Lepisosteus oculatus: one gene and its partner. The protein of the gene in region 1 purifies or fractionates together with the protein of each later gene. This does not show direct contact. Links are inferred from orthologs where the notes say so. Each region holds a gene or a part of one and is shown in the gene's direction. Other genes may lie near its edges. The genes, in order: sodium/potassium-transporting ATPase subunit alpha-1 and hadhb.

Region 1 (3,921 bases):
TTTTTTTATGGCATTCTTTATTAGGATGCTATTTTAAACTAGGTATTTATTTACATAAATCCAAACAAAGCTAGAAAATTAACGTATCTGGGAAATGTAAACCACACTTAACAGCATTAGTTTAAGTTAGTAAGGGTACTGAGGAAGGAGCGTGTTCAGTACTGTAAGTAATTTTAGGAAGAAAAAACATTGTGTTTCTTTTTGGTGACCTCATTCATTTTGTGCAGGTCACAGCCTAATTGCACAAGGTCAGAAAAAAATTCCATCTGTGTTTAAAATGCATCCTTCTATCTGTTAATGAAAGGTTACTTTAAAATAATCCTAGTTTTTAATTATTCAAACATAAATATTGCGTTATATATCCAAGAGTAGTATAACAACAAGGCTCTTGTTGAAAATGCTGTCAAAAACTAAATCAGTATTATTTTTACAACCCCTCGCCATAAAAAGAAACATTCACACACCGAGAGGGTAAATAATCACCATCTCAGATAAATCTTTCGAATGAAGCTCTTGGGTGATCGTCTTGTATACCGGCTGAACAAAAAAAACTGCAATACAAGCATACTCGAAAGTGCATTACCCAAAACTGACAAAAGGTTGAAAAAAAAACGGACAGCTCCGCTTTTCTGCTAAAAATTCTCGGCAGATTTGTACGTTCATCTACAGATGAACTTTTCATTCGCGTCAGATTGTAAATGAAAGTAACTTTATAGTTTATCAGGAGAACTGATAATAATAATCTACTCAAAGGAGGAAGACTCCTCCCTCATTTCAAGGTTACCATGGCAAAAAGTGCAGACGTCACCGTCGAACGAACCCAGTATATAAGTATTTGGAAGGCGGCGAGAGAGCCAAGGGAGGTCGGCTGTGGGCTACGGAGAGGTGCGGCGTGTGGACTGAGGACAGCCAAGCGCAGCAAAGTACACCCGATCCGATCCAAAAGATTTATCAGTTGTTCTTAACTCCTCGGAATTCGGCTAGGAAGATTTACACAAAACACAGCAAACATGGGAGTTGGAGTAAGTGATCTTCTCAATTTTCTCGTCTGGTGCCTGACAATCTGCCCTCGGCTAAGAGAGCGGCGCCAAAGGCAGCATAAGTCACACTCATACAGGTGGTGTTTTTTTTTTGTCTGGGGAGGGGACGGGGGCAACTAAGGAGCTGTCTGCAGCCCCAGAGTTGTGTGCGGGCGGCGCCAGCCCGTATCAAAGGTCCGCCGCGGACCTGTATCCGCGCTGGTTACTTGACTGAGGAGCGCGGAAAGTTCAAGGCGCATCGAAGAGTCGGCGGAGTCGGGCGGCGAGCTGGTTACATTTCACCAGGCGCCGGCGGCGGCTGCGCGCAAGCCAGTCGTGAGGAGCGGGGCTGGGAGTTGCGAGTCGAGTTTATACCTGGGGGGTCCTGACGTGTGAATACGGGCTGCTTTATAATCGTTGTCTGGGATTACAGTAGTAGTGAATGAAGGGAAGGAAAAAAAAAACGGCTAGATAACGTGTAACTTCCTCCTACTTGTTAAGCGTGGCCTACAGTTTTCCACGCTGAGAAGAAAAGGGAAAGAAAACTTAAACTCGCCGTCTTGTGACTAAAACAGATTAGTTAACTTATTGACATCAATATAACTATTTTCGGTTTTAAGTTTATTAATTTGTGTGTGTGTGCGCGCTGCACCAAACGGTAGCAGAATAAAACACATGTTGGATTTCTTCGGTATGTTGAAACTGAGCAAATCATGTGCTGGGGAAATTGGCGCACGTCTCGTTTGTCATCTGTGGTGGTGCTCGCCGGATGTCGGCTCAGCTCTCCTTTTCAGGTTTCCGAGAGAAAACGAGGTTCTGGTCCGTAAGAGTGAAGGGCTGGAGCTGCAGATGTGGATTATGTGCTGGCAGTGGCGCAGAGGCAGGAGGCGACGGGAGTGCGAGACCATCGTATTGAATTAAATGTGAGGGTGTCAAAAATGAACCTGTCTGTTTCTAGAAAACTGCGGTAGGGAAGTCAGAAACGTCGTTCAATAAAAAAGGGATGATCTTAAATTTGAAATCCAAAACTATACTCTTGGTTATGCGTTTTTATTGATTATGATTCATGGCTATAATACTCTGCACACATTTCCTTTTTCTTCTGAGGGATATTCGTTAATGAACTCGCCACTTTTATTTCCTAGAGACTGCTAGCCTTTTATTTTTTTCGGCGGCCCGTTTCCTGAACGCGATTTTTGCTACAAAAAATGTAGCGTCTTGAGACAAAATCACGCTTTACAGGGGCGAGTCCTTCACTTTTTGATTCTCGTCGATTCTCAAAAAGCTCTTGTCTTAAGTAAAAGCCAACTTTAAGACGTCTGGAGGTTAGCCTACTTTTAATTGGGGGGGAAAAAAAAACATGGTGACTCGTAGACTTTAGTTGAAGACTTTCAAAACCGTGTCTTGTAGATATGTTGCTAGGTAGAGGAAAGCTGATTTAAGTAGATCTCCGGCTTAATATGTGGGTAACAAACGGCCTTTCTAAGTGTGACCTCATTTTGATTTGTACGGTTTCTTGGGGGGTGCGCCCGGGTTTCTGGAGGTGTAGTGAGTATTCTATAGAAGTTACAGTTGCGTTTCTCTCGTAGCTGATCATTGAATCCGTATGCTTGTGAAATAATTAGTAACCCTTTTCATTCTGTCGTGTGGTTGTTTGATCGGCTGGAAATGCGATCCTTATTGCAGTTGCCAGTACGCCCGCAGAACCCCAAACACACTTGCTATTCATGGGCTCATTAATATGGAAGAGCAGCAGTTCTGTAGGTTCTTCCAGCCAATGCCTGGCTTTGTGTGCTGTCCTCGGAAACAATATTTAAAATATGTTCAAGGTTCAAAGTCTGGCTACTGTAACGTCTCTAAGAATAAAATCCTAGGGTGAGCCCATATCTAAGCAATTCCTTTAAAGATGTAACACTTTTTTACATCCTAGTCATGATTAATTGAACTCTTGTTGTTTATCCATCTCGGTAATAGAAAATGAAAGACTGTTATATGCTTGTCATGAAGGCTCAGTGATCTTAACTCTGATGTTTGGCAGAACATCAGACACAAGGAGAGCTGATTTAATGTGGGACATGCAGAGAAAGGGCTTGGCATCTTTCCTTTACTCTGTCACCCTAACAATGGCAAAAGTGGTGATCGTGACCCTCCTACAACATGTGATCCCCCACCGCACCTGTTTCACAATGCGGGAATGAAAATCGGTCAGCTGAAGTTTTTCCTTTTACTGTTTAGGACTTGGTAACCTTTTCCGAAAGTGGATCAGGTTCTGTGAAAGGATTCAGCAGACCCCTTTTTTCCTCTGTGCTGGTGAATTGAAGATTACGAGATTTAGCATCTGAGTGACAAATTGTCTTGGTTTTGACAGTCAAAGGAAGAGTTGTTTGTCCCTGTACAGCATAATTTCTCATTAAAACTAAGTGAACGTGGGGTTTCTTATGTATTGATTTTTTTTTTCCTAAAAAATCACTTTATAACCCAATCCTTTGTAGGCAAAGCAAATTACTTTTGAATATCCTGAGGTGTGAATGTATTTATTAGTCATTGCTGCTGAGCTAGGTTTCTGAGTGGTATACCTGTCCAAAGATTTGTACATGTGCAACAACTGTTTTGAGGCATTCTACAAAATGAGCTTTTTCTCTGAATATCTTGATCTGAGTTTAGATTGGTGCCTGTCTAGTTTACGTCAGCCTCTTGGTCTTTATTCACTGTTGGATCTTTCCTGAAATGTTTTTAGTCAGAGAATCCTCCCCAAATCCATTCTAAGAACATACTGTACCCAACTTTGGCAAGACCATTTCAAAGAAAGAAAATGCCAGTAAAACAAACCACAGTTTTTGCCTAAAATATTGAATACTTAAAGAAACAAGATTGGGTGGAGGGGACTTTTAATCCCCTTTGT
Region 2 (3,921 bases), on another chromosome or scaffold:
TAATCATATTTTACTACTTTAATAAAGTTTAACTGGCACTGACCTAAGAGCACTACATGGTTTAGCTCCTATAGCTTTTTTAGCAGTTTTATGTTTTCCATACAATATCAACTTTTGTTAATATTCTGACCTCTTTCATGAAATATCTATATTCCCTCGTATAGAACTGATTTCTCCCATCTTTACAGAATAAAAAAGTGCCTTAAACTGAAAGGGTTTTGAAGACTGCAGTGATTTTCTCTTGCCACAGTGACATGAATGTTAAGGTATAAGAAGGTACAGCAACAGCGTTTTCACTCCACATAGGCTCAGTGTGCCTTAATAAAATCGATTTTCCCCTTGCCTTCCAAAAATTAAATGAATATACTTTATAGGCTTTTTATGAACTTTAAGTCAGAGGCACAGAAGTTGATCACTATAATTAACACTGAATATTAAACTGCACGGCACCCCATTTAATACTTTAGCAATTCTGTGTTTGAGTAGTCAAGTAGAACGAATGCTCCTCCATATTAAAAGGTAACTTTAATTACTGCAGAGTGATTAACAGCATTCTGGTATTTTTTCCAAATCTCCATATTCAACTAACTGAATGCAATACACATAAGGAAAGAAAACTCTCACACCCTACGGAGAATAAACAAAAACTGTAAGACTGAGTACATTGGTGTGTGTTCAGTCTTTGTGCTCAGTGTGTAGAAAAAGTCTTAATTTTTCCTAGCGTTGCTGTTTGTAGTACTGCACTATAATCACTTACTTCAAAGAATTACAAAAATCCAAAACATTAACTATTAAGAACGCTAATAATCATGATTAAATTCAATGAAATTGCCTTTAAGACTCAAAGAAAGCAAATCAATCACGAAAAAAATAAAAAGGAGAGCAACGTCTGGGTGAATTAAAACTGCAAAACGCATAAAGGAACAAATTGCCTTAGAAAAAATATTCAATTTTATATGCATCAGCTACAATAGACACAACAAAACCCTTATGTTATGACTTCTGTGTGCATTTCTATCAAAGTAACTGTCACTATTTAAGTAGGTGAAAGGTCAATGCAGACCTGCTTCAGTTGCATACTGTACACCCACTCATCCAGCACCAAGAAACTTCTCTTTTCTTAAACAATAATGGCAACAGAGGAAGGTGCAGGTGGCACCCAGCATCTTAATAAGCTAACATATTCAGTTACCTGAAAAGAGTGAATATCTGCTCGTTGCAAACCTGGAAAGTATTCCAAGCGCTCTTACGCCAGCCATCTTTGCCAGTCAAGTTCAGACAAGGGAGAGAACAACCTTTGGCAAGCAGACTAGGACCTTCAGTATTAATATCTGTTGAGGACACCACAGATAAGCCTGAGACAAAACATAAGAGAAAGCTTCTAAAAGTAAAATTTAAATATATATAAAAGTCTAAATATTCTAAATTATTAAGGTTTCCAGTTTGTACTGTTGTTCAATTTCCTACTATTATTTCATTAATGTAACGAGCCGCACAAGGATGTCAGGCGAGGATTGGGAAAGCACAACCTGTCGAAGGTCCTTAGAGAGAGACAACTGTAAGGCTTGTTGTGTCCGGGTCAGTCAGGGTTTGGGTGTTGCGTGTGAGTATTCCGTTACGGACAAGGTGAGCGTATTTCGCCAGAAAGAAAAGAAATCGGGTAATGCTTTCAGACATAGCGCTAAAACATGTGTAAACAAGCAGAGAAGTATGTAAAGCAGCATGCATTGTTTTTTTTTAAGTCATGGGGAAACATCAGGTGCAAATCATTGCGTTGCAGTTTTCACATTAGTAATTTGAAATTCAGGCGCTTCTATTTCAGTGACACTCCTCTTACTTAATAGTTTAACATTGCATCGTTCGTATAGATGTTATCTTTATGTGAATGAAATACAATGATCAATAAGTTGCAATCGGTACTGTTTTCGATAACTGATTAATATTTTTTTAAAGGTTGGTTATGATTTGGTACGTTATGTGAATAATTCATTTTCTATTCTAGATCGAGAAAATCGTGCCAAATTAAGCGAGCGTTGTCGGAGCCAGATTTTGTATTATTTTTGCAAGCGCCTTGCATTTCCAACATCGTTTGAAAGTTCTCTTTACCAGTAAGAAGTGCCCCACTTTTTTGTTAATCTCGGGATTTGTGTAACCATTAAAGGGAACACAGTTCTTGAATTGTGTGGATTGGATTATCACAGACCTTACTTTTCCAACCAAAATGAACTGCAATGTATTGTTTCATTGCAGAGGCTCGTGTGGTATGGAGGTTGGAGAAGTAGGTGAGAGGTCAAGTGTAGCTGTGGGCGGTGCTTCCACCCAGATAGGAAACTCTCACTCCGGAACACCCGATCTGTGAATATAATGTACAATATGAATTCCGTATGCGTTTTACTACCTTGAATTTCTGAAAAGGTGGAGTTAAATGTCAAATATATAGAAGTGCTTGAGAGATAACTAAAATGCTTTTGAGTCTCCTAGAACAGAATGCAGCTTCTTTGTGTAGACTGAGGCAGTGACGTTGCAGAACAGTTTACTGTCTTATCGTTTTATCAAAATGGCAGGATAAATATTTAAAAGAGTAGAACTTAACTCAGGGGGTTATGTTAACATTTGTGTGATGCAGACTTCATTTGGAATACCCTGTGTGTGTGAAGTTGGATAGACAACTTCATACACTCAAGCAGAAGGCAAAAAAAAAAAACACTTCAAAGATGTCATTAAGGTCAACCATGAAGTCAAACAATTTTGACACCAAAACCTGTCATATGTCTGCTGTGCTGGACAGCATCATTTAGAATATGGTATACAATTTAACTCGCCATGTTTTTATAAAATAGATATTGCTACTCTAGAATCCATCCAGAAAGGAGTAGTAACATTGTGGGGCTGAAGGGATTGTCCTACACTATAGTGCTGAAGAAACGTGAACTTTTTAGTTATGATCAGAGAAGGCTATAGGGGGATATTATCCAGAACCTGATTCAAAATCCTCACATGCATTGGCAGTGTCAACCCAGCAGAATCCTTCAGAATGAACAGTGAAACATGAACCATTGGACACAAGAAGAAGTGCGTTTCAAAACAGGAACAGGAGACACTTCTTTACCAAAATGGTTGTGGGAGTCTGGAACAAGCTACCCAGCCATGCTGAAGCTGTGATATCTTAGATTCTTTAAATAAATGGCTGGTTGAGATTCTTGTACTTTTAGTACTTACCACGAAATGGGCTAGTCGCAGGCCATTATTGAACTGATTTTTTTTATTTTCTTTCTTAATAGATTAGGATTGGTACAGTTTTATAAAGTTTTTGTAACCCTGCTGCTTTTTATGTGAAGAAATGACTCTTCTCACACAAATCAAGCTTATTATCTTGAGAACAACCTTTCACTTAGGTTCATGTGGTTGCTATGTAAAAGGCACGGAAAAAAACATCATGCTGAATTTAAATAAAACTATTGAAATAATGCAGGTGGATTGTTTTGCATTTAAAGCTTTAATACTGTTGTGAAGTTGTCATTTATGAAAAGGGAAGACAAGTTGTAGTTATGTTCATTAAATGCTACAGAAAACAGTGGGGGCTGTTTGACTTGTACCCCACTAAACATTATTAGATATTTATTTATCTAGTTTAGTGTTTTGTTTCTTTTTAAGACCTCTATATATATATATGCATTTACAAACAAGCTTTAAATCAGTTTTTCCTTTTTTTTTGGTAAATTTTGCATTTCCTAAAATTGTGAATCCTTCATAAACGGAAAGTCGTGATATCATACCTGGATTTTTATGATCATTCAGTGTAAGTGAAATACTTTGTTTAACAATCTTAGGATTAACTGTGAAAAAGATCAGGGTTCTATTACATTTTCCTTACAGAAGGAGAATGAATGTTGACGACTTTTTCTTCTGCATTTTAGGACA

The links.
Region 2: the proteins of sodium/potassium-transporting ATPase subunit alpha-1 (region 1) and hadhb fractionate together in Homo sapiens (co-fractionation; 3 studies listed by BioGRID, with this or other methods). This does not show direct contact. The link is inferred for Lepisosteus oculatus from reciprocal best matches to the Homo sapiens genes ATP1A1 and HADHB.

The regions. Positions count from the first base shown.
Region 1 is NC_090710.1:32,970,118-32,974,038, reverse strand, and holds the start of sodium/potassium-transporting ATPase subunit alpha-1, read left to right. Parts: upstream 1-841; 5' UTR 842-1,010; coding exon 1,011-1,022; intron 1,023-3,921. UniProt on the Homo sapiens protein: This is the catalytic component of the active enzyme, which catalyzes the hydrolysis of ATP coupled with the exchange of sodium and potassium ions across the plasma membrane.
Region 2 is NC_090697.1:47,019,820-47,023,740, reverse strand, and holds the start of hadhb (trifunctional enzyme subunit beta, mitochondrial), read left to right. Parts: upstream 1-1,523; 5' UTR 1,524-1,626; exon of another isoform or gene 1,627-1,660; intron 1,661-3,917; 5' UTR 3,918-3,921. Other genes in the region: trifunctional enzyme subunit alpha, mitochondrial, read right to left, coding at 1,193-1,259. UniProt on the Homo sapiens protein: Mitochondrial trifunctional enzyme catalyzes the last three of the four reactions of the mitochondrial beta-oxidation pathway.